Linked DNA regions of Macaca fascicularis. The protein of the gene in region 6 purifies or fractionates together with the protein of the main gene of each other region. This does not show direct contact. Links are inferred from orthologs where the notes say so. Each region holds a gene or a part of one and is shown on either strand. Other genes may lie near its edges. The genes, in order: FGFR1OP2, SLMAP, CTTNBP2NL, SIKE1, CAB39, STK25 and PROSER2.

Region 1 (3,500 bases), on a different chromosome or scaffold from region 6:
CAGTTAATGAAAATCTTTGTTTATAACCCTTCACTTGGATCTACACCAAAGTTTTAATTTAACTTCTGTAAACCTGGCTTCTGGCCTGGTAATTTAGTGTGATTTTATTTTTTGAGAAAACTCTGAAGAAAGGATGGCTTGCATTGAAAGTTAGGTAAAACTTAGTAGAAAGAAAAGATTTCGGCCGGGCATGGTGGCTCACGCCTGTAATCCCAGCACTTTGAGGGGGCCGAGGTGGGCAGATCATGAGGTCAGGAGATCGAGACCATCTGGCTAACATGGTGAAACCCCGTCTCTACTAAAAATAAAAAAAAATTAGCTAGGTGTGGTGGCAGGTGCCTGTAGTCCCAGCTACTTGGGAGGCTGAGGCAGGAGAATGGCATGAACCTGGGAGGCAGAGCTTGCAGTGAGCTGAGATCATGCCATTGCACTCCAGCCTGGTCAACAGAGCGAGACTCTATTTCAAATTGAAAAAAAAGAAAGATAAAAGATTTCAAGGAGGGTAAGTTTCAGAAGAAACTTAAGTTTTGGAAAGAGACTGTTTAAAATTATTAAAATTTTGTTTGAGGTTTCTGTATACCAGTTGAAGAAGCTGACAATTGACTGTTTCATGTTTTCTCTCATAATTTTTTCAGCTACTCTTAAACATATTACTTACTGATTTTAACATATTGGACGTTTCCTGTAATTACCAGTTTTGTCCTAAGTCAAAACTCTTTTTTTGCAATTTACTAAGGAAGACGCAAGCGTTAGAATTACAATGCAACTTTATGTAAGAAGCAAAAGTTCTTCCAAGAGGAGGTTGAGACTTTGATGTAGCATGACACATTGAGGCCACTTTGGCTGGTCAGCAGTGTTTGTGAACAGTGTCTCAAGTCCCCTGACCAAGCAGAGGTTAGGAAGCATTCTTACAGTCAGAAATCTGATGGTCATTGACCCCAGAATACAGAACAACGAACCAAATGATCTTTCTCAAAAGTGACAAGATAGGGAATGCCCTCATAAAGGGCAAATTTCTGTATAACGTTATATTCACTGGAAATGTACTTTTTTCCCCACTGTCAGTTCTGAGTGTTTTAAATACACTCTAGTTCCATCTGTAAATCTTTTAACTGTGTTCTAATTTTTTTGTAGCAGTGTAAATTTACTTTCAAGTTTGTACCATCCTAACAGAAGCAAAACCACAGTGTTCTTAGGTGTTTTTTCCTCCCTGGACAGTGAACAATACTGTAACAAATGTGTCTTAAGAAGCATATCTGTGTTGACCTGAAACTAAAATAGATATGTTGACTTTGAGTCTTGATTTTAATTTTAATTATAGATATATCTTTAGAAATGAGTTGCACAATTGAGAAGGCACTTGCTGATGCTAAAGCTCTTGTTGAAAGATTAAGAGATCATGACGATGCCGCAGAATCTCTGATTGAGCAAACCACAGCTCTCAACAAGCGAGTAGAAGCCATGAAACAGGTTTGATTTTTCTTGTTCATTCCATTTATCGAAAGCAGTCATTGACATTTATGTATTGCTGGCTAATTAGTATCTAATTTTTTCAACATTCTCTAAAATTTTAAAGTAGTTTGACCTGTGTATTTCAGATTTACTTTAATTTTGTCGTGTTCAGGTGACATACATGGACATATATTTCTAAACCCTAGATTTGATCACTTATTTTGCTGACAAAGTTGCGCATTTGAGTTTAGAAAATAAATGAATTTGTTAGATCTAGAAACATTTGACAAAGACCAGATAATACCTTTTACTAATGTTGGTACACATTTTGTTCTGTCTTGTATAATGTGGAAATGTTCATATTTTTCTTTATAAAAGTACTTAAGGTGATGCTGTTTAACAACAAAATAGCTTTTGAAAATGATGCAAGGTAATATGTGATTTACACTCTGTGCAGTTATTATACCCATACTTGCTGCCTTATTTTTCATTCAATGCTACCAATTAAAGAATACATAAAAAGGGCTTTCTTCTTGCTATTTTTACTGTTGTGTAACAGAATATTCCCATGGGCCACGGAGTTTAGACACTATTTTAACCTTCTGGTAAAAATTTTCAAGTCATTTAAGAAAATTATAAAATCTTTGACATTATGATGGAAATCAGAGGGGGAGAATGTATATTCACGGCTAACTCTCCTCATCTGTTTTGTAAAAGGAAGCAATTCTGGGATAGTATTTTTAACAAAGCTACTGGAAATAGTGGAGCAAGTTTAGTTATTTGGTTTTACAACTGTGTTGCCCTAAACAGATTACCTGCATCCCTAACCAACTGTCCAGCTAGACTCAGGCACTTCAGTGAACATATATCTGGTATTGAGTTGTTAAAAAGGGAGTTTCACATCTGAAGTTAAGAACCAGGAGTGTTATAATGAATATATTACTAAGTGTCTCGTGAGAATGCCTTGAAAATAAATTAGTGCAATTGTAAAATAAGATTCTCATTTTCTTAATGGAAAGTCTTTCTGCATTTCTTTTGTACATGTGCTATTATTATTATTAAGATATTCACATACCATAAAATTTACTTTTTTGAAGGGTACAGTTCATTGGATTTTAGTACACACTTGCAGGTTATACAGTATAACCACTATCTGATTCCAGAACATTTTCATCACCACAAAACCTTACATCCATCAGTGGTCTCTCTCTAGTTTCCCCTTTCCTCAGTCTCTGGCAACCACTAATATTTCTGTCTGTATGGATTTGCCTATTCTGGACATTTTATATGAATGAAATGATAAAATATGCAGCTTTTTGTGATTGGCTTCTTAACATAATGTTTTTAAGGTTCATCTATGTTGTAGCATGTTATCCGTACTTCATTCCTGTTTATTACCAAATAATATTGCATTGTAAGGATACAGCACATTGTGCTTATCCATTCGTCGTTTGATAGGCATTTGGATTATTTTACTTTTTTGGCTGGTAAGAATATATGCTACTATGAATATTTGTGTACACGTTTCTGTGTGGACATATGTTTTCAGTTTTCTTGGGTATATATGTAGAAGTAGAATGGATGGGTCACGTAATAACTCTCTTAAATTTTTTGAGGATCTGGCACGTTGTTTCCCAAAGCAGCTACACCAAGCTTGTCCGACTTGTGACTTGCTGGCTGCATATGGTCCAGGATGGCTTTGAATGCAGCCCAATACAAATTTGCAAACTTTCTTAAAACATTATGAGATTTTTTTTTTTTTTAAAAAAAGGTCATCAGCTATCGTTAGTGTTAGTGTATTTTATGTGCGGCCTGACAATTCTTCTTCCAGTGTGCCCAGGGAAGCCAAAAGATTGGACACCTCTGAGCTACATCATTTTACATTCCATCAACAATGTATGGAAGGTTGCATGCAATTTCTTCACATCCTCTCCAACAATTGTTATTGTCTTTTTCATTATAATCATCCTAGTGGGATATATTGAATTGCATTCTCCTAATGACTAGTTATTTTAATTAAACATCTTGTCATGTGCTTATTGGCCATT
Region 2 (3,500 bases), on a different chromosome or scaffold from region 6:
TAATTCCAGCTACTTGGGAAGCTGAGGTGGGAGGATTGCTTGAGCCGGGAAGGTCAAGGCTGCAGTGAGGTGAGATCACGCCACTGCACTCCAGCCTGGGTGACAGAGCAAGACCCTGTCTCCAAAAAAATAAAAAACAAAAAAACAAAAAACAAACCACTGACAACACTTCACCATCAGCTGATGCTCTCTGCTTGACAGTACACTATTTTTGCTCGATACCTGAAATCCATTATTTGACAATGTACTCCCTTAGCAATGGTTAAAGTTTATTTTATGCCTCTAACAAAATCTTTTTTTTTTCAACTAAAGCTCTTTTGCTTATTAGATGATACAGCTTTCAAGCTTAAAAATAAAAGCCCTGTGACAATGCGTGCTTCCTAAATCAGGCAAGACATTTGACATGTAATAAAGGTTTGGTTATATATAAAGACAGGCAGGGCTGGATGCGGTGGCTCACGCCTATAATCCCAGCACTTTGGGAGGCCGAGGTGGGCAGATCACCTGAGGTCGGGAGTTCGAGCCCAGCCTGACCAACATGGAGAAACCCCATCTCTACTAAAAATACAAAATTAGCCAGGTGTGGTGGCGCATGCTGTAATCCCAGCTATTCGGGAGGCTGAGGCAGGAGAATCGCTTGAACCCGGGAGGTGGATGTTGCGGTGAGCTGAGATCATGCCATTGCACTCCAGCCTGGGCAGCAAGAGTGAAACTCCATCTCAAACCAAAAAAAAAAAGAAAAAAAAAAAAAGAAAAAAAAGGCAGCTGACTCTCAGGGCTTTCAATTATGTTACCAGAATATAATTATAATAATTTTTAAAATGGGAAGAAAATTGCTACAATGAGTGTTATTACAGAGTGATATTTTAGTACCATAAGTGCAATATCACAAAAAAAGGAAATTCACCCCTAAGGTGAATTGTAGCTATAAATAATAATAGCAAAGTTACTTTTGAAAAGGTTCTAAATAGTACGGGGGGGATCCATTCTGATTATGCTAGATGTCTTCATGGGTTATTGAGCAGTAGACTGAAATTCCAAAATCCCAAGGATATGAATTAACACAAAAGAAAGACGTAATCAAACCACTGTGATCTGATTTTAGAAGAGTTATGTAATCTACATTTTGAAAAGTAAATGCAAACCATTTTCCTTAGCATAAAGCCTCCACACCCAGTTCATCAACTTCTAAAAGACTTCTACCTAAGCAGCAAGCCTTTATTATCTACAAACTAAGACTTTCTTTAGCAAAGGACAGTTGGACGCAACTCATGAGCATTCTGTGTGCAAATGAGTAACAGGATGGCCATGCAACATCACTCTTTTGTACTTGTGCTGCAAGGTAAGCAGAGTGGCTTCCTCCATAGGAAGTATGTGGCTCACGCACACTGCAGTGTCCAAGCCATGACAGTGGTTTTAAATAAGTCAGAGCACAACCAACCACACTAAACATCTATCAGGGCCCACAAAGGTAACGATCACCAAACGTACAACACAACATTTATTTAGTATAGTATCTTTTTAAAGACCATCTGTCTTTCTAGCAAATGAAAAACAAAAAAATATTAAACTCAATTTACACCAAAATGTTCATCTCTCTCCCTCTCTCATGGGACTACAGAAACTCACCAAATATTTTCTAATATTTATATAATGACAAAGAGACATTAAGCTTTTTAGAAACTGTGCCTCAGTGAGAACATTATTGGTATAAGAACAACATATACTACTCTGTCTTAAATGGATCCCTGGTGGTACAGTGCTTCATTTCCCAGCAGGGGAGAAATAAGAGCCAGATGATAGCTTAGTGACAGAGCTTCAGACTCATCTGGGAAAACCTGACAGTTCTTAGGCAAGCTGCTTTATTGCAAACAAGACTCTTCCTCCAGGCAGTCCCGAGGCTCTTCTAGGGGTATAGGTTAAAGGCACAAATTCTTACTTAAAAATCTGACAGCACAGTGATTCTATCATGGAATTTCATAATGAAAAGCCTACTTCATTTGTACCATTTGCTTCACAAATCAGTGATAAAGTCCTTTGAAAATCAATTTCAATCTCTCATGTGCCTCTCAATCAAAGCTAAGCCAAGTTTGCAAAGACTTACATTATTTCCTTTCTCTCGGAGCAGCTTCAGGTTGTTTTTACACTGTTTGAGCTCATCTGTGATTGACTGCTTTTCCTGCTCAGTCATTTCAAACTTCAACTTCAGTTCTGAGAGTACAGTCTGTGTCTTTTCATACTAAAGGCAAAGAAAAAAAAAGTGTGCAGATTCAACTTAAAATGGGTATGAAGTTATGGTTCTAGTCAGGCTTATATGCCAGACCCTATTTAGTCACCTGGAACACCAAAGTCAAGTCTTTTTGTTTAAGGAGGAATAACTTGCACTCATAAGAAGTCTTTTGGCTGAGCGCGGTGGCTCACGCCTGTAATCCCAGCACTCTGGCAGGCCAAAGTGGGCGGACCACGAGGTTAGGAGTTTGAGATCAGCCTGACCAACATGGAGAAATCCCATCTCTACCAAGAATACAAAAATTAGCTGGGTGTGGTGGCGCATGCCTGTAATCCCAGCTACTCCTCAGGAGGCTGAGAAAGGAGAATTGCTTGAACCTGGGAGGCAGAGGTTGCAGTGAGCCAAGATAGTGCCACTGTGCACTGCAGCCTGGGTAACAGAGGCAGACTCCATCTCAAAAAAAAAAAAAAAGAAAAAAAAAAGAAGTCTTTAATGTTGACTTTATTCTATGTAAGAATTTTCTGGCCCTGGAGTTAAAAAAAATTAAGAGTAATCACCATTTTGTCATCTGTTTTTAATATAAAGGATCACTTTTCCCACCAAGTGAATTATAGGAAAAAAGGAAAATTTCAAACTGAGCAAAAGAGCAGGTGAAGAAAAATTCCATAGCCAACGTTAGGAAGCCTGAGTTTATATCCTGGTAAGGAGTGTCAGCCAAACTATTTCAGTCTTGAAGTAAAAAGTATTAATTCCCTATAGGTTTCCCTTTACCCAGCATTACTGGGTATTAAAGTGTTCTGGATAAGTGAATTTTCTAGGCAGATGAAGCAAAGAAATGTATCTGAAGTACCCACCACTATGATTGGGAAATTTCTATTTCTCCACTTAAAACAGGCATCGGCTGTGCACGGTTGCTCACATCTGTAATTCCAGCACTTTGGGAGGCCAAGGTGGGCGGATCACTTGAGGTCAGGAGTTCGAGACTAGCCTGGCCAACGTGGCAAAACCCCATCTCTACTAAAAATACAAAATTAGCCAGGCATGGTGGCACATGCCTGTAATCCCAGCTACTTGGGAGGCTGAGGCTGGAGAATCGCTTGAACCCGGGAGGTGGAGGTTGCAGTGAGCTGATATTGCACCACTGCACTCTAGCCTGGGCAATAAGAGTAAAACTCCATCATCTCAAAAAACAAAACAAAACAAAAAAAACTTAGGTTATCAACTAAAAGTCATTTAAAAAAATCCGTTTCTGGTAGACATTTTATTTTTA
Region 3 (3,500 bases), on a different chromosome or scaffold from region 6:
CCAGTATACAAATACCATCCAAATACTCCAGTAATGTCATAAAGTAAGATGGCTGTAGTCGAGCCAGAAGTAAAACCCCGAACTTCTAACTGCTTTGAATATTTGCCAGCTAATAACAACATAAAATTTTACCATAAGGCTAAGTGATTCCTGGGGCCTAAATTGAACAGTCAATGAAGAAGTCTTCAGATTTTCAGCACTGAAATACTTCTGTGTTAAAGAAACCCCATGTTTGCTTTATTTTCTTAAAGATTCTTTTAAATTAAAGCATAGCCATTGAATTGCAACCTTCCGTTTCTTTTTAAACAGGCTCCTATTTGTGGATGGCGGTGCTAACATAACTACTGATTAAACAGTTTTTAAAAATGGATAAATAATAGTAGTTTTCATGAATAGATTTAATTTGAAAGCTTAAATTACATAGTACTTTGCTGTAATTTTTTAGTTTCTTCAACCCTGTTAACACTTCATTTTTCATTGCAAAATATCTCAAGAAACTTTTAAATATCTGTGTAATAAGTAAAAAGTAATGTGCGTGTAATATGTGATGCTCATATGAAGTTCTTCAAGGTCTTGCTACAGAGATAAGGAAAGAGGGAAGGAAGCCTAGGAATATCTTTCCACCCACCTCCTGATCCTTATACTTCCAACTGGGTACCCAGGGCTAAAGCCCTTAACCAGACTCCAAGCACCACCTTGCATCCCCTTCTTACATGCACATCCCCAAGGCTCATCAAGCCTTGAAAGAGACAGAAAAGAGAATGGAAAGTAACAACCAAACAGAGACAAGAAGAGGGGGTGGAATTTGGCAGCAGGTGGAAGAGATTTTGTGTGCATTTCTGGTTGTGAGGTGCCTCCATCCTCCTTGACCCATCAACAACTGAGTAATGGTTCATATGTACAGATCACAAGTCATCCTAGATTGTCATGTGATCCTACTTATATTTTGCACACTTTATATATCTGCTGGCATTTTGTTAGGTCTCTAAATATATAAACTCATAAAATTGTCGTGCTTAACATATTTTAGGAATGCTAGTGCCATAACATGGGAAAAAAATAACATGTATCTGCTGGTAATATAAGCATTCATAAGCAGATACAAGCAGAGGCAGTAAGCACAGAGGTTAAGGACACAGATTTTGGAGCCGGGCTGCCTGGGTTTAAATGCCAATTCAGACAACTTGCTAGATGAGTAACCAGGAATAGTTTTCTCATCAGCAAAATCGAGATGATAGCACTACCTTACAGGGTTGTACATTTTAAACGAGTTAATATGACTATAAATATTTAGAACAATGTCTAATACCCAGTGCTTTATAAGTATTTGTTCTTGTTAATATACCATGCCACCTTTCTAATGCTGTTTCTTTAGATGGCTCAATCTGACTTGTAATTAGCAGGTTACATTTATACTAATACCACAACCTTTAATGTATAACCACTGGATAGCAAATACCCCCTTCTCAGTAGTTTTAAAAAACAAGATGCTTATTTTTTTTTTCCTCTTTCCCAGGCCCAACACAGAGATACTTTCATTGAAGAACGCTATGGAAAATATAACATCAGTGATCCTTTAATGGCTCTACAGAGAGATTTTGAAACACTGAAGGAGAAAAATGATGGCGAAAAGCAGCCAGTCTGCACAAACCCACTCTCTATTCTTAAGGTGGTGATGAAGCAGTGCAAGAACATGCAGGAGCGCATGCTGTCCCAGCTGGCTGCCGCTGAGAGCAGGCACCGAAAGGTAGGTTCCCCTCAGTTGATGTGTAAATCTTTGTGAAGTCTTGATAAATTATGCCTGATACTTTCTTGTCAGCTGCCAGTTTTTCACAGTAATTCAATTGGGCATCTCGCGGGTATCAAAAAACCCCTTAGTTTATGTAAGAGTCAGGAGATAGAAAAGAAAACACAGCTTATTCCAAGTGTTAAGTTTAGAGAATGTGCCAGACACATTATTTAAGACGGCATTCCTTCTTGATATATCACTCCAAAACACTTTGTATGTTTTTTCAGTTCTTGATCATTCAAACTTTGGGGTTTGGCCAAGCTTGTAGCTGAAGGGAGTGTTCTCTATTTGCTTACTTAAGAGATAAATAAAAAGATTGACAGGTATTTGAGGCATGCTATATCCAAGGGAGAGAAAGAATTTACCTGAGGATAAACACAGAAGCCAATAGATTATTTTCATTTATTCCTGTTATTCCTAGTTTTGAGTTTCATTGCATTTTGTTGCTCATGAAACCATAAATAGTCCCTAGGTTTATTTACCTTAAAGGTGTTCTACTCTATTAGTGAAGTGTTGTGTGTGTGTTTCCATATTTAACGAGCCCTAAATTAGGAAGACAAACCTTACAGTTATTTACCTTATTTACCTTAAAGCTGTTCTACCCTATTAGAAAAGAGTGTGTGTGTTTCCATATTTAACAAGCCCTACATTAGGAAGACAAACCTTACAGTTATTTACATTACTTACCTTAAAGCTGTTCTACCCTATCAGTAAAGAGTGTGTGTGTGTGTTTCCATTTCTTACAAGCCCTAAGAAGGCAAACCAGTGCTTTCCTCTGCTTCATCTTACTGGAATTCTAGTGCTTGTGAATTTATTCACCAACTTGTCATCTTGTCATTTACTGCTCAAATTTGGCCTGTAAAAGATGCTTGGCTACAATCTTCATTTTTAAAACACTATCAGTTTAGATTTATGCCAACAAGGCAGTTATCAGTGCATTTGGTAGGAAACATTTTCATCTGAAAAACTGGGTTAGCAGCTGCAAAATTTGGTGGACCTTACTTTTCTGGTTACCAGTATTAGAGCCATCTGCTTAAATTGCATCTGATAAATTTTCTAGGCTCTGGGTCTCGCACGTGATCTTTTCTTTCCCTTCACAGACGCCAAATGAAAGGCCAGAGTGGAACTTCTTAACCATGTGGATAGGCCTCAGATGTTCCACAATCCCCCAGAAAATAGAATGTTCAGAGTTTATGTATTTTTGTAGGAAATGTATTTTTTCCATAGCTTTAATTAGATTCTCCAAGTTACCAGTTACCCAAGACCCAAAAAAGTTTTAACCTCTGATTAGAATGAAGTAATCTGAAAACATTTACACTCCAATTTAAAAGGTTATCAATGGGTGGGAGTTAGTTGCCTAAATTTGGGGCGGGGGGCAGCTTTTACATAATCCTCTAAAAAATCTTCACAACATTCTTGTTTAATAGGCAGGCTTTATTTCCACTTCATCCATGAGGTGACTGAGTTGTGTTGAAGCTAGTTGGGCTAGCTTTCATGCCCATGGAAGGTGTACTATGGACAGTTTGTGGCTCTAGGTGATTGGAGAGAGGAAGAAGTTAAAAATAATTCAAAATTTCTTAATACTATATTGCAGTGCTAAATGTTTTAAGTACTAAATTTTTGAAACGAAGTACCAACGTTTTTTTTTTCTTTTTTTGAGATGAAGTCTTACTCTGTCACCTAGGCTGGAATGCAGTGGTGCAGTCTCGGC
Region 4 (4,288 bases), on a different chromosome or scaffold from region 6:
TTTTGTAACCTTGCCTTTTGGTTTTTGGTTTTTGGCTCTTAACATTGCTTAAGAGGAGTTTTAAGGTTAATGAGTGCCTGCCCACCTCCTTCCCCATCTGGCCTAGAATGTTTAATTGGCTGTAACTCTTTTGACTCTAAGTCGGTTGGCCGCAGGAGTGACATGATGGACTCAGGACAGGTAGCACACCACCCTGGCATTGATATGGGACAAAATTAAAGTTTGGACACTGATACTGTCTCTGGGATACGTTGACAAAAAAAAAAAAAAAAAAGCGGAATGCTGTTTTGAAGGCATGAGTGTAGCCATTCCCCATCTGCGAGCGTTTGATTAGTAAAACTGCTTTCCTTTCATCATCAGTCACTTCTCATGATTTTGGCCTCTAGGCAACAAACAGCCAGACGTGAGCCAGTTGTAATAGCAGCATTATTTACAATAGCAAAAGGCGGAAGCAACCCAACTGTCCAGCGGATGAATGGATAAACAAAACGTGGCATATACATATTATTCAGCCTTAAAAAGGAAGAACATTCTAACATATGCTACTGTGTGGATGAAACTCGTGGACATTACGCTAAGTGAAACAAGGCAGTTATATGAATATAAATGCTGTATGATTTCACTCACGTCAGGTACCCAGAATAGTCAGATTTGTAGAGACAAAGTAGAATGGTGGTTGCCAGGGGCTGGGGATAAGGAAGAATGAGGAGTTATTGTTTAAAGAGTGCAGAACTTCAGTACTGCAAGACGAAGGAGTTCTAGAAATGGATGCTGATGGTGGCTGTATAACCATATGAATATACTACTGAACTGTACACTTAAAAATGGCTGAGATATTAAATTTTATGTGCATTTTGCCACAATTTTTTAAAACTTAAATGAAAGTAGGCCAGGCGCAGTGGTTCACACCAACACTTTGGGAGGCCGAGGCAGGCAGATCACTTGAGGTCAGGAGTTCAAAACCAGCCTGGCCAACATGTGAAACCCCGTTTCTACTAAAAATAGAAAAATTAGCCGGCATGGTGGTGCATGCCTGTAATCCCAGCTACTCGGGAGGCTGAGGCAGGAGAATCGCTTGAACCCTGGAGCCATAGGTTGCAGTGAGCCAAGATCGCGCCACTGCACTGCAGTCTGGGCGACAAGAGCAAGATACCAAGATACCGTCTCAAAAACGAAAAAAAATAAATAAAAATTAAATGAAAATAAAAAGAAAATAACTGTGACTGAATAACAATCCACATCAATGAAAACCAGTGGGGAAAAGAGACCTTCCTTCTGCCCAGCTCATCATGGCCTGACCACCAGGCTGTGGCAACTGGAAACCAAGAGCGTGGTAAGGGCAGGTCTGGGGCTCCGCGTCAGGCAGGACTGCAAGGAAGCCACAGGTAAAAGCGGGTGAACCCGCAAAATAGGGTGCCACTGCGCAGGCGCCTCTTGCGTCTGCCAAGACACCTTTTAAACGTGCCCGGAAGTGACGCCAGTAATGCTGAGACAGACTCCCAGAAGATCTGAGCGAGTCGCGTAGCTGAGCCCGGCAGGGGCTGGGGTTGTGCTGCTGCTATGAGCTGCACCATCGAGAAGATCCTGACAGACGCCAAGACGCTTCTGGAGAGGCTGCGGGAGCACGATGCGGCTGCCGAGTCGCTGGTGGATCAGTCGGCAGCGCTGCACCGGCGGGTAGCCGCTATGCGGGAGGCGGGGACAGCGCTTCCGGACCAGGTCAGGCAGAGGGTAGGAGTCCAGTGCTCTCGGATTCTGGGCACTGAAGGGTGGAGAGCGAGGTAAAGTGGGAACTCGGCCTGAAATTTATTCCCGGTCTCAGAGGGCGGCGGTGAGACCTTTTTCCTGGGTCGGAGCTGAGAATCCTGCCCTAGAGCCCTGACTTCTGCCACTTGAGTTGCATCTGCCGCTGTTCTCTTTAAGGCATGCTTAGACTGTCTCTATTTGTCCAGTATCAAGAGGATGCATCCGATATGAAGGACATGTCCAAATACAAACCTCACATTCTGCTGTCTCAAGAGAACACACAGATTAGAGACTTGCAACAGGAAAACAGAGGTTAGTCAGGCCTTTTCATATCTGGTAATAGTTTAAAGTTACTGCAAAATTGCCCTAAACATTCACAAGGGTGTGCATCTATTTCCAGGTCAGTACTTTTAGTAGGAGAGTCCTCCTGTGCTGGCTCAGTAACAGTAAAGTTTGTTAGATTACCCATTTCAAGGTCATCTGACTGATTTTGTAGCAGCTTACCAAAGAGGGGCTATGTAGAGTTAGAATTATTGCATGGTTTATTTTTAAGCATCTCCAGATGTGTAACAAAAGAGTTCATATCCTCATGGACTTAAAATTTAATGTTTAAATATTAATATAAACACTGAAGGTAAGATTTAAGGTTTTGTTTATGTTCTTGTTTGTGCAAGGTGAAGCAGCAGAATTTTACTCTAAGGGTATATATTCTTAGGCTTGATTAGTACATTATTAATGACTGTAGTATTAATAGTTGTTTACCAGAGGGGTTTCACATATATCATTCTACTGTATTCTCATATCTTCATTTTTATCTATCACAATGCTGTTAAGAAATAGGCTCAGAGAAGCTAAATGATTTACTTATGAGTATTAACCAAGCAAGTTACAGAACTGAACTCAAATCCATGTCTTCTGATGACATATCCGTTGTTGTTACTGCAAGATTTTGCTTCTCTGCCTAGAAAGTTACCTTTAACATAGACTTTAACTGCTCAGTTTTGTGGACTGAAACATTGATTTACAACCTTGGATTCATATTATCTCTATAGTATTGCAAAATTCTAACTGTTAAGACTTTGGATTTGGGAACTGTCTCTCAGACATCACTGCCAAGTTATTTTATTTTTTGACAGAGCTGTGGATTTCCTTGGAGGAACACCAGGATGCTTTGGAGCTCATCATGAGCAAGTACCGGAAACAGATGTTACAGTTAATGGTTGCTAAAAAAGCTGTGGATGCTGAACCAGTCCTGAAAGCTCACCAGTCTCACTCTGCAGTAAGAAACTTCGAATAAATTTGAAATGAACCAAATTGAAATCTTGAGATTGTTTTAGATTGTGTGCTTGTTTTTTTGCTTTTTGAGACAGGGTCTGGCTCTGTCGACCAGGCTGTGGTGTAATGGCACGATCTCAGCTCACTGCAACCTCTGCCTTCTGGGGTCAAGCCATCCTCTCACCTCTGCCTCCTGAGCAGCTGGGACTACAGGTGCACACCACCATGCCCTGTTAATTTTTGTGGGGTTTTTTATTATTATTATTTTTTTTTTTTTTTTGTAGAGATGAGGTTTCGCCATGTTGCCCAGGCTGGTCTGAAACTCCTGGGCTCAAGCGATCAACCCACGTTAGCCTTCCAAAGTGCTGGGATTATAGGCATGAGCCACTGTGACTGGCCATGTGTGCTTGTTTTTGAAGAAAAGTAAGCTTGTTTTCCTTTCATGTTTATCATATTTGTTGTTTATTTTGCCATGGCTTTGTAAAGATATGAATAGAAAGAAGGATAGTGGTTGCTCAGGTCCTTTTATTTGAATGGGACTAACGTTCCCCCTCCCTCACCAAGATCTCTTTTGAAAATGTTCATTAATTCTTAGCCCTCACACCAAACGTAATGTCAGTTAGTGTTGAAGGTGCCCAGTAAATACTTGGTTGGTTATTATACATTTCACTTAAGCTCCTTGGTTGTGAGGCACTTGAATTCACATTTTATTCCTAACATAGTACCTGACATATAGCAAGCAGTCAATAAACCTTTTATAAACTGAACCACATAGCATCATACTATGTTATTAGGGGATAGAAGTATGGTTTTTAAAAAAAACAAACATGGCATAGTTTCTATGCTTTGATTGCTTATTATCTAATTTGGGAGACTCGGTAATTGTTCTTATGTTTGTAGGTGCTTCATGGTTGTCATTGTACATTCGTGTGTACTGTGTCATTTAATTCTAGATGTATAAGTTGGAGCCTACTACTTCTGTGAGATGTAGTGAAATATAAGCTTCATCTTAAATTACATTGAATGCATTTTACTGACTTAAAAGTTTTAGGAAACAGATATTTTAAATATTTGAATGGCTTTCAACTGGAAGAGAAAAATAGATTTTATTTATTCTCATATGGAGGAAAAAACCTGAACTTTGAAAGAGACAGTTTACTCAGATAGATAAACTTTCTAAGTGATATGTCCAAAGATAGAATAAGGCACCTTGGAATGTAGTAAGCTTCCTGCCAGTGAAAGTATTCAAATTTAAGTTAAACAGCCA
Region 5 (2,315 bases), about 11 Mb from region 6:
TGCCTCTGCCCACAAGGTCCGCAGCTTGGGCAGCCCCACTGCTGGCTCTGCACACTCAGCTTTGGCCAGGTTGTTGGCATGTTGACAACCTGAAGAAGTGACTGCTGGTTTTAGGAAAGAGTAAGCAATGACAGTTTAAAAGTTGTGAGTTTACATGATACAACCAACTTTCCAGAAATTAGTAAACCCTGAAGTAAACAGATGTTTTTCAGCGTAATTGGTATAACTAGTGATAATGAGGGTCGGTAAGAAAACCCTGGATCATCTTCAGGAGACTTAAGAAGGAGCAGAAAAATACTCACTTGTGTAAACCTTTCTGAATTAGCTGTGATAAAATGGTACCTGTGGCAAGTGCAGGGTTCATGTATGGAAAACTTGGGACACAAAACCCTTCATCCTGGAAAGTCCCGCTAAATAAAATTTTAAAATAGTTATTTTAAATTAAGCTAAGGTTTGTGGTTAGTTAACAGGAATAATCAATAGCTTTTGACCATTTTCTGAATAGTTTCTAACACAAATGCACGCTTAAAGGGGAGGCTCTGAGAGTCTCCAGCTCAGGGCGGAGGGGACATCTTGAACATCCTCTGCAGAGAGCAGCGTCAGGCCTCCTGTAGATTTCATCTCCTCAGGGAAAGGTAGGAAGGCATTCAGGTGGCAGAGAGAAGGCCCTTGGTAGCTTTTAGTTTGTAATTCAGTTCAGTTCTTCAGTCTTTTGAGTGCCTACTAATATGCTATGCTTAATGATGATTATGAAATAAATTATTTTTTTAAACTTTGATTTTTCCTTAAATTTTAATAACAATGTAAGAGTAATTATTTAAATGTCTTCTCAGCTTCTCGGTGAACTACTACTAGATAGACACAACTTCACAATTATGACAAAATACATCAGTAAACCTGAGAACCTCAAATTAATGATGAACCTGCTGCGAGACAAAAGTCGCAACATCCAGTTTGAGGCCTTTCACGTTTTTAAGGTAGAGTATAGAACCACCAGTGACACTGTCCACTAGAATTGATCGTCGTCTTTCGTTTGCAAATGACGGAAATTATTAGCCTCACTTTGGTAATCCAGGTGACTTAATTAAATTCAGTCACTTTTCATATTTGTGTGCTATGACTTTTAAACAGAAAGGTAGACCTGGAAACAGGGGTTACTATTTGGATTTGGGAACAAGAAAGTTTATTTATAGAGGAGTGTCATTTATCTTTGGCCTAGAAGATTATTAACTGCAAAACAAAAGCATTTCTTAATGCTTGCTGTGGAGGTGTCATTCTTAAAATCCAGTCTGACCTCTTGTGCGGAGAAATAATTTCTGCCCGTTTTATTCTAAAATCAGAGTCTGTATTTAATACTGCACACTGTGTTGCAGGGCTGGCAGAATGAGTTTATCAGTCGTATTAGTGTTAAAACATGTAATTATTTCTCTCAGTTGTAAAATAAGGTCTTCTACAGCAAAACCTAACGACCCTGACTTCAGCGCCACCCCAGGAGAGCGTAGCTCTGTGCTTTCCTGCGCTGTGGCTGCAGCTCAGGGTGGCTGCGTTTTCTTCTTTCTCTGTGCCTCATGTGCATTTCTCCCCATGCAGGTGTTTGTAGCCAATCCTAACAAGACACAGCCCATCCTAGACATCCTCCTCAAGAACCAGACCAAACTCATAGAGTTCCTCAGCAAGTTTCAGAATGACAGGACGGAGGATGAGCAGTTTAACGACGAGAAGACCTATTTAGTTAAACAGATCAGGGATTTGAAGAGACCAGCTCAGCAAGAAGCTTAATCTCCAATAAACATCTATGTTAAATCCAAATTCAGCGTTTGCTGTTAGCTATTCAGCATCAGGCACTCTTACTGATTCATGAGGAACATTACTGCTAATCTGCTGTTAAGTGAACGGTTTTTCATTTTACCCTTTTGTTTTTCAGTCCAGGTTGGAAATCGTAGCTGCTGCTGCTTGCACACTAGGGCACATGTGGGCTTTCTCTTGATCTTTGTGTCATTTCAGAATTCGAAGTACTACGGGAGTTCTGAACATGGCTGGGTTCATGAAGGCAAATGTATGGATGAGAGTGTGGTTTAGGAAAGAGGGCATTGATACCAGATTAGACCTATGTGTTTGCACCCATCTTTGTTGGCGATCTGAGTGCAGTGTGGCAAGTGCACACCTGGCATCCCTGCGTCAGATCGTACCCCTTCGCTGAAGGAAAATGACGCAGAGCTTTATCTGAAATCAGAGGGGAACTGTATCCAAAATGGGAGTTTGGGGGCAGATAAAGTTGACATGCGAATAAATTGATACTGAAACTTAGCAACTTC
Region 6 (3,958 bases):
CAGGGGGCACTATGACCTGGCGGCCCACGGGGCAGGGGGGCGCACCAGGTAGCCTTGGGCTCTGCAAGTCCCTCCCTGACCTTGGGGAGGTGACCCCAGTGCCACGACGGTTTCCAGCAGCAGTCACTGTCCTGGGCGGGTACCGCGCTCTAGCCCAGGTGGGTCCCACAAAGGTGTGACCAAGGATGTCCTATGATCACCCCTTTACAGGTAAGGAAACTGAGGCAGAAGATGCGAAGGTCGCGCAAGGAATGGGCTGTGCAGGTAGCTTCTCCAAGGCTTGCTGCGCCCTGGCCTGTGCGCATGATCCCGAGCGGGGTCTCGGTGCGAACAGGGGTTTCGCGGTGTGACCAGCGCCGGCTTATCTCCGAGCCGTGAGGACAAGGCCAACAGCCTGGGCGGCCGCGGTGGATCCTCGGGGCGAGGCGGGGAGGGCGCGGGGCCTTACTGGCCAGCTCGGACCAGGGCTGCGCAGGGCAGAGCCCAAGGGAAACGCCGCGCGGCCGCCGTCACGTCGGAGACGACGCCCTGCAGGCGCCAGCAGACGCAGAAGGCCAGCGAGGGCGAGGCACGGAAGACGCGACGCGACAACGACCACGTGCCCCGCCCGCCCCGCCGCGCGCCCTGCTGGGAGACGCAGTCCAAGCCTTTCGGGAGCCGAACTCGGGGTCCCAGAGAGCCTCGCGGCGCGCATGTGAGCCCCGCCCCTCTCTCGCGGCCTGCCGGGACTTGTAGTGCAACGCCAGCAGACTTCCGGGCCCGGAATGGGCGGTGGGACTCGGGGTCCCAGAGAGCCTCGCGGGGCGCATGTGAGCCCCGCCCCTCTCTCGCGGCCTGCCGGGACTTGTAGTCCAACGCCAGCAGGCTTCCGGGCCCGGAATGGGCGGTGGGACTCGGGGTCCCAGAGAGCCGTGCGCGGGCCGCGACGCCGAATACCGCCCTCGCCGTCGCCTCCTCCGGGCTTTCTCCTGTCGCTGCCGCCACCGCCGTTGCTTCGCGGGCTGGGAGGCCCGGGGTCCCCGGGCGAACAGAGGCTGCGGGTGGGAGCCTTCGCGGGCGCTGCAGAGCGGGCCGGGGGAGGCCGGGATGGAGCCCCGCGGAGGTGGGCGCGCTGCCGGGCGCGCGTTAGCGGCGATTGGGGAGGGGGCGGAGGGAGGGGCCCGGGGCGGGGCTCGGTGGCGGGGACTCCGGGGCGGGGGCACCGGGAGGAAGCTGCCTCGGAAGAGGTGGGGGCGGGGACGGGAGGGGCGGCGAGTCCCCGGGAGCCTGGGCTGTAGGCCCGGGCGTGGCGGGGCCCCGATGGCCTGGGGGTCTCCTGGGGCCCCCCTCCAGCCCGCCGCCCCGGAGCTCGGTCTCAGATGACTGAACTGGGCGCCGACCGCTCCTGCTGTCCCTCGCAGTGGACTGACGCCGCAGGGGCGAGCGAGCCGGCTCCACGCCTCTCCGCGGGATCCAGACGCCTCTCGGGGCTGTCGGCGGAGGGTCCGAGGCGGCCCGGCCATGGCTCACCTCCGGGGATTTGCCAACCAGGTGAGGAGGGTGCAGTTCAGGAAGACTAGCGGCCTCTCAGCGAGGGGCGCCAGAGCTTCCCGGGGGCTCCGAGGGGCGCCTCGCCGGAGCGGGCGGTGGGTGAGGGAAGGAGCGCGCGTCGTGCGACCAGCGGAGCCGTCCTGAGGTGGGCGCAGGGCGGCCCCCGGGCTCTGCCGTGTGCTTGTGGCGTTTTGCGTGGTAGGAGCTCGCAGACCTCTTGACACCGAGCCCCGGGTGGCTCCGCCTGTGCGAGGGCGGCGGAGGTGCGTGAAGAGACACCGGCTCCGGGACAGGACGCTGCCCCCAGCGCGGGGCGGGAACCTCGTGTCGGCATCTGAAGGCAGTGGAAGGTCAGGGGCCACACTGCGGCCTGAGCCCGGGCCACGGGTCGTTCCGGCCGTTCTGGCCGTGTTGGGCTGGGCGGGGGCCGTAGAGGAGACCCTGATGGGCGCTGAGGGGCTGGGAACGTGGAGAAGCCGATCTGAGCGGCCGGTGTGCAGGGAAAGCGGAAAACGCGTGTGTGCTTTGGCCCAGGGGAAGGTGAAAAGGCTGCTCTGTTCAGAACCGTTTAACCCCTGCTACGGGCGGTTGCCCGAACAGGAGGCTCGTCATTCCTCTTTGAAGAAGTCGGTTCCACTATGGAGCCACCTTGAAGCGTCTGGTGGGACAGCCTCGGAGGGAGCCACTACAGCGAGCCCTTAGTCTGGAATGAGGACCAGCTGCTGCTGCCACAGGGCATGCCAGGGAAGGAGGGTGGGGACAGCCAGCCTGGGACCTGGAGACTTGCACTGTGTACCTCTCCCCATTTTTTTGACTCTGGCTGCTGGGTTTTTTTACGTCTTAGCGTTCGGTTTTGCTCTCCTTGATGCCTTGGCTCTGCCTAAGGTGTTGGAATCGCCGCTAAAATGTGTGGCCCTCCTTGTTCACTCCTCTGTGCTGAATTCCTGAGAGCTGGGTGTGCAGTGGAACAGGAAGGGCGTCTGTCCGCATAGGGGCAGGAACTGGAGTCAGGGCTGCTTTGGAGGAAACTGGACCAGCCTAGAGACCCGGAATACCGTGTGCAGCTCTTGGGCCAGGCAGCCTGGACCTGCGCGGTCACAGATGGGACTGGGGCTTGCTGACTGATGCTGAATTAAGCTAACAGATTTTTGACTTTCTGTATCTGGTAACTTACATGACTAAGGTGCTGGGAGAAAAATCTGTCACCAATTTATTTTATTTTTATTTTTTATTTTTTTGAGACAGAGTTTCACTTTTGTTGCTCAGGCTGGAGTGCAATGGCGCAATCTCAGCTCACTGCAACCTCTGCCTCCCAGGTACAAGCCATTCTCCTGTCTTGGCCTCACGAGTAGCTGGGATTACAGGCGTGTGCCATCACGCCCAGCTAATTTTGTATTTTTAGTAGAGACGGAGTTTCACCATGTTGGTCAAGCTGGTCTCAAACTCCTGACCTCAGGTGATCTGCTTGCCGTGGCCTCCCAAAGTGCTGGGATTACAGGCGTGAGACACCGTGCCCGGCCACCAGTTTATTTTTAAGAACTGCAGAAATAGCTCCTTTGGGTCACGGGATGAGAAATTGGAGCTCTGAGGTGCCCTGTGACTGTGTGCTGTTGGTTCTTGGTGCGATCAGACCCAGGGAAGGGAGTGGGCGCACTGGGGAAGGGAGTGGGTGCACTGGGGAAGGGAGTGGGTGCACTGGGGAGGGAGTGTGGGCGCACTGGGGAGGGAGTGTGGGTGCACTGGGGAAGGGAGTGGGCGCACTGGGGAGGGAGTGTGGGTGCACTGGGGAAGGGAGTGTGGGCGCACTGGGGAAGGGAGTGTGGGCACTGGGGAAGGGAGTAGACGTACTGGGGAGGGAGTGTGGGCACTGGGGAAGGGAGTAGGCGCACTGGGGAAGGGAGTGTGCGCACTGGGAAGGGAGTGGGCGCACTGGGGAAGGGAGTGTGGGCGCACTGGGGAGGGAGTGTGGGCACTGGGGAGGGAGTGTGGGCACTGGGGAGGGAGTGTGGGCGCACTGGGGAAGGGAGTGTGGGCACTGGGGAAGGGAGTAGGCGCACTGGGGAAGGGAGTGGGCGCACTGGGGAAGGGAGTGTGGGCGCACTGGGGAAGGGAGTAGGCACACTGGGGAAGGGAGTGTGGGCGCACTGGGGAGGGAGTGTGGGTGCACTGGGGAAGGGAGTGGGCGCACTGGGGAAGGGAGTGGGCGCACTGGGGGGGGAGTGTGGGCACTGGGGAAGGGAGTGTGGGTGCACTGGGGAAGGGAGTAGGCACACTGGGGAAGGGAGTGTGGGCGCACTGGGGAGGGAGTGTGGGCGCACTGGGGAAGGGAGTGGGCGCACTGGGGAAGGGAGTGTGGGCGCACTGGGGAGGGAGTGTGGGTGCACTGGGGAAGGGAGTGGGCGCACTGGGGAGGGAGTGTGGGCGCACT
Region 7 (3,961 bases), on a different chromosome or scaffold from region 6:
CACCAGACACAAGAGGCCACAGATTCTAAGATTCCACGTGTATAAACATCCAGAAGGGGCAAGTCTACCAAGACAGAAGGAGATCAGTGGTTGCCAGGGGTTGGGAGAGGGGAACGGGAATCGTCTGCTTAATGGGTTTCCTTTTGGAGTGATGAAAAAGTTCTGGAACTCGACAGTGGTGATGATTGCCTAACATTGGGAATGGAATGTACTTAATGCCACTGATTTGTGCCCTTTAAAGTGGTAAATTTTATGTTCTATGTATTTGACTATAATAAAAAAGATAAACAGCATCAAGTCTTCACGGTGCTCGAGTCTCTGGCAGTACCCAGTCTGAAGACACGTTCACGAAGAGCTCTCCCATCCCTGTCCGGCAAGGCAGAATGCTCTCCCCATATGATCCTTTCCTGCCCATCCTGAATGCACAGATTACAAACCCAGCACCAACTTTCTTAAAATACTCTTAGTTTTCAAGATGAATGCTGCCAGTCTAGAAAGGGGACAAGGGCATTATGGACAGGGGCAGCTTCCCTGTGGGTTCCGCAGACAGAGGCTGTTGTTGCCACTGGCTGGACATAACCCGTGCAGAGGGCAGCGCCTCCGTGAACACAGGCTTTCCTATGGTGGCCAGGAGACCCCTCAGAGTGGAGCGGGGATGGCTGCAGTCTATCAGGGGCAGAGTTACCAGGCCCTCTTCTCAGAGCACACAGGCAGCTAGGAAGCCACCAAGTGCAAAGAAAGGTGACACGCGGCGATGGCCTTCACCGTCAAAGGAAAGAGCTCGGGTTCTGGGATGCTCCTAGGATTCCCCTGGCACCTCCCGAATGGCCTCTGTGCCACTGGCAGCTGTCCCACAACACTGCAGATAAGATGCACTTGAACTTCTAGTTCTAGAGGCTCCCCTGTTCTCAGCTCTGCTCTACCCAGGCCCTTCCTCTCTCCCCCTTCAGGTTTCCAGGCTCCACTCCTGGAGTTATCTGAGATGATCTTCCAAATCAACACACAGTGCCAACTCTGGGCGCCTCGGGTGTCTGAGAACTTTGGAACCAAGGCCAGGTATCTCTTCAGCTGCTGATGAAGGCTTGCTTGATCTGGTTTTAATCAGTTTGGGCCATGTGGCTGTTATCTAGAAAAGACTGTATGCTGGATGTCCAGTCACGGCTCTGCGCGCTGTAAGTGGTCAGTCTACAAATATTCCTGAATGAATTAACGAGCAAATCCCACCCCCCCGCGACCCCTCCGTAACCAGAGATTCAAACACGCTCAAACTTTCCTAAAAGCATCGCTCCTCTTCCCAGCTTTCGCTCCACTATCACTCTAATTTTGGATTTCTGATTTCTAGTAATGGAGAAAATATGTTACTTTTAAATCGTCAGCATCTAAAATTTTCAAAGAAAGCTCATCTGAAGTGCTGTTACCAAGGGATATAATCCAATCGCATTAAAATGGCTATTACTAGTCTGGACAAGAAAACACACAAGATTCCATACATACGCTGTCAACTTTGGCAAGAAAGATTTTAGACAACTTCCATCCTTCCCACCCAATCCCAAGTCAATAGGGCATTTGTTTGTATTTCCACATTGGCTTCACGAACGAAAATACCTCCTCCACCTAGAAAAACAACCAGTAAAATTCAGACACAGAACTTGGAGGGCAATCGTTTTAGTGCATGCTGGGACACTTTTATGTAGTGTTTTTTAAAAATAACGTAGAAAAGTATTTTTAATAAAGTTTTCTCCTATGAGCATTTCCCTCAAGTTTCCACGTATGCCTGGTTTGGTCTTTCGATACCTTTCAGAAATACAGATTTTTAAAAAATGATCTCCGTTAAAATTGGAGCCAGAAAGAACCTTCTTCCTACAGATCTGAACGTTTTACTCTGTTTAGGGTGGAAAAAGACACACACAGTCATTTTCCTTCACTCACTTTTAACTTCTCTGCTCTGCACGCACGAGGTTCTGGTAAAGAGTTAAAAGTTTTCTGAGGTTAGTTCCTGCGGTTAAGGGAAAAAAAAAAAAAATACACCAAACAACTAGATGCTTAAATTTAGACTCCGTAAAACAATACTGGGAAACTTTCAAAGCCTTGGAGAAATACTGGAGTTTATTTTATTGCCTTTTGTTCAATTTCATCACACGGGTCACATTTTCTCCTCTATTTTAGTCCCTCCCGCCGGCTGGGTTGGGCAGACCCTGCACATTCCCGCGTGATTCCAGGACCTGGGGGCCCGGGTGGAACAGGTGGCTCCGCCCGCCGCGTCGGACCCGCACCCTCTCCGCGAGGCCGCATGGGGGTCCCACAGCGCAAGGGAGAGCGGTCCCGGGCTGGGGGACAGGCGTCGGGGACAGCGGGGACGCTCTGCGCCCAAGGCTGGGAAACCCGCCTCCACCCCTGCGCCCCCAGGACAGCCCCAGACTCGGAACCCAGCGCGCTCCCCGCCGCGCCCCGACTCAGAGGTCCCCGAGGAGGCAGCGACGCCCCGGGGTCAGGGTTCGGGCACCGGGTGGCCTCTGCGGCAGCGCCGGGCTCCCCCAGTCGGAGCGAGAAGCGCGCAAGGCAGGGTCCGGCGCCCCCTCTCTGCCCGACCCGCCGGCGTCCCAGCCAGACCCCAGTGCCGCCACCGCCGCCAGGACGCCCTCCCGCCGCTCCAGCCGTGCCCGGAGTCCTAGGGCCGCACTCACCTCGCGGGAGAGCCCTACTCCGGGACTCAGGTGTCCACGCCGCCAGCGACCCTGAGCCCTGACGCCGGAGCCCTCACGCCGCCGCCCGTCCGGCGCAGATTGTCCCGGGCCGCCCCGCCGCGCGCTCTCCCCCGTGCGCGCCCACCCGTGCGCGCTCCACCGCGCACCGCGCGCTCGCGCCGCCGGGACTCGCGATCCTCAGGCACGCACTGCGCGCGCCCGCGGCGCTTAAAGGGCCAGGCCCCGCCGCGCTGCAGGACCCCGCGGCCGCCTCCCGGGTGCCCTCGGTCAAGGTGTGAAGTTCGAGTTGGGGGACATCACCGTGAAAATCCCCAACCCCATCGCCGAGCGACCCATGCAGAGAAAAGCAGTGGGGATGTGTGTCTGAAACTTACAAGAGATGGGACATTAATTTAATCTAATTTTTCTTGAGACAGGGTCTTGCTGTGTTGCCCAGGCTGGAGTGCACGTTGTGTGATCTTGGCTCACTGCAACCTCCACCTCCCAAGCTCAAGTGATCCTCCCAGCTCAGCCTCCCAAGTAGCTGGTACCACAGGTGCACGCCACCACACCCAGCTAATTTAAAATTTTTTGGAGAGATGGGTGGGGGTCTCATTATATTGCCCAGGCTGGTCTCGAACTCCTGGGCTCAAGCGATCCTCTCACTTCAGCCTCCCAAAGTGCTGGGATTACAGGCCTGAGCCACTGCACTTGGCCTTTAATTTTTTCTTTTCTTTTTTATTATCATCAGCTTGGAGAGGCTATTTTATACTTAATAATGCTGATGCAATTTATTGCATACCTGTACCCTCAGACACAGCATTTAATGTGCATACACCAAATACATTATTTCATCTAATCCTTAAAATGTTTTTCTGGTTTCTTAACCCCATTTTACAGAGCAGGAAAGCTGAGGTTCAGACAGCTGAAGAAACTCATGGGAGAATTTTTGACCCCATGGCTCATTGCATTTTCTTCTTCAGGCTATCACCGTGGAAATATCTCCCAAGGTTAATAGCTGGTTGCGGAAGGCTTTTGTAAGTTGGTGGAGGTTAATGTTACTGGGTTTAATTCGGTAGGCAGGGAGAAAGCAAGGATTATGGGGTTGTATTAATTGTAGGGTTTGTTACATACTCAAATGGCAAATGTTATAACAATCTAGATTCCCAAAATGTTTGTGTTTACTCCCATTTTACAGAAAACTAAGAAGGAAGTGGTTGCACAGAATGACTGAGTCACTGGCCCCACTCAGGGTTGAGCCCCAATGCCTTAGTCCT

What was found.
Region 1: the proteins of STK25 (region 6) and FGFR1OP2 purify together in Homo sapiens (affinity purification with mass spectrometry; 5 studies listed by BioGRID and IntAct, with this or other methods). This does not show direct contact. The link is inferred for Macaca fascicularis from reciprocal best matches to the Homo sapiens genes STK25 and FGFR1OP2.
Region 2: the proteins of STK25 (region 6) and SLMAP purify together in Homo sapiens (affinity purification with mass spectrometry; 5 studies listed by BioGRID and IntAct, with this or other methods). This does not show direct contact. The link is inferred for Macaca fascicularis from reciprocal best matches to the Homo sapiens genes STK25 and SLMAP.
Region 3: the proteins of STK25 (region 6) and CTTNBP2NL purify together in Homo sapiens (affinity purification with mass spectrometry; 6 studies listed by BioGRID and IntAct, counting the BioPlex papers as one, with this or other methods). This does not show direct contact. The link is inferred for Macaca fascicularis from reciprocal best matches to the Homo sapiens genes STK25 and CTTNBP2NL.
Region 4: the proteins of STK25 (region 6) and SIKE1 purify together in Homo sapiens (affinity purification with mass spectrometry; 4 studies listed by BioGRID and IntAct, with this or other methods). This does not show direct contact. The link is inferred for Macaca fascicularis from reciprocal best matches to the Homo sapiens genes STK25 and SIKE1.
Region 5: the proteins of STK25 (region 6) and CAB39 purify together in Homo sapiens (co-immunoprecipitation; 3 studies listed by BioGRID and IntAct, counting the BioPlex papers as one, with this or other methods). This does not show direct contact. The link is inferred for Macaca fascicularis from reciprocal best matches to the Homo sapiens genes STK25 and CAB39.
Region 7: the proteins of STK25 (region 6) and PROSER2 purify together in Homo sapiens (affinity purification with mass spectrometry; 3 studies listed by BioGRID and IntAct, counting the BioPlex papers as one, with this or other methods). This does not show direct contact. The link is inferred for Macaca fascicularis from reciprocal best matches to the Homo sapiens genes STK25 and PROSER2.

Annotation. Positions count from the first base shown.
Region 1 is NC_088385.1:29,703,033-29,706,532, forward strand, and holds part of FGFR1OP2 (FGFR1 oncogene partner 2), read left to right. Parts: intron 1-1,321; 5' UTR 1,322-1,335; coding exon 1,336-1,470; intron 1,471-3,500. UniProt on the Homo sapiens protein: May be involved in wound healing pathway.
Region 2 is NC_088376.1:120,997,491-121,000,990, reverse strand, and holds part of SLMAP (sarcolemmal membrane-associated protein), read right to left. Parts: intron 2,240-3,500; coding exon 2,105-2,239; intron 1-2,104. UniProt on the Homo sapiens protein: Associates with the striatin-interacting phosphatase and kinase (STRIPAK) core complex, forming the extended (SIKE1:SLMAP)STRIPAK complex.
Region 3 is NC_088375.1:121,941,143-121,944,642, reverse strand, and holds part of CTTNBP2NL (CTTNBP2 N-terminal-like protein), read left to right. Parts: intron 1-1,516; coding exon 1,517-1,747; intron 1,748-3,500. UniProt on the Homo sapiens protein: Regulates lamellipodial actin dynamics in a CTTN-dependent manner. Associates with core striatin-interacting phosphatase and kinase (STRIPAK) complex to form CTTNBP2NL-STRIPAK complexes.
Region 4 is NC_088375.1:119,590,416-119,594,703, forward strand, and holds the start of SIKE1 (suppressor of IKBKE 1), read left to right. Parts: upstream 1-1,488; 5' UTR 1,489-1,560; coding exon 1,561-1,731; exon of another isoform or gene 1,732-1,781; intron 1,782-1,952; coding exon 1,953-2,058; intron 2,059-2,882; coding exon 2,883-3,025; intron 3,026-4,288.
Region 5 is NC_088386.1:126,737,656-126,739,970, forward strand, and holds part of CAB39 (calcium-binding protein 39), read left to right. Parts: intron 1-833; coding exon 834-977; intron 978-1,590; coding exon 1,591-1,779; 3' UTR 1,780-2,315. UniProt on the Homo sapiens protein: Component of a complex that binds and activates STK11/LKB1. In the complex, required to stabilize the interaction between CAB39/MO25 (CAB39/MO25alpha or CAB39L/MO25beta) and STK11/LKB1.
Region 6 is NC_088386.1:137,458,475-137,462,432, reverse strand, and holds the start of STK25 (serine/threonine-protein kinase 25), read left to right. Parts: upstream 1-1,500; coding exon 1,501-1,530; exon of another isoform or gene 1,531-1,880; intron 1,881-3,958. Other genes in the region: uncharacterized protein, read right to left, coding at 510-1,502. UniProt on the Homo sapiens protein: Oxidant stress-activated serine/threonine kinase that may play a role in the response to environmental stress.
Region 7 is NC_088383.1:12,721,739-12,725,699, reverse strand, and holds the start of PROSER2 (proline and serine-rich protein 2), read right to left. Parts: upstream 2,801-3,961; 5' UTR 2,685-2,800; intron 1-2,684.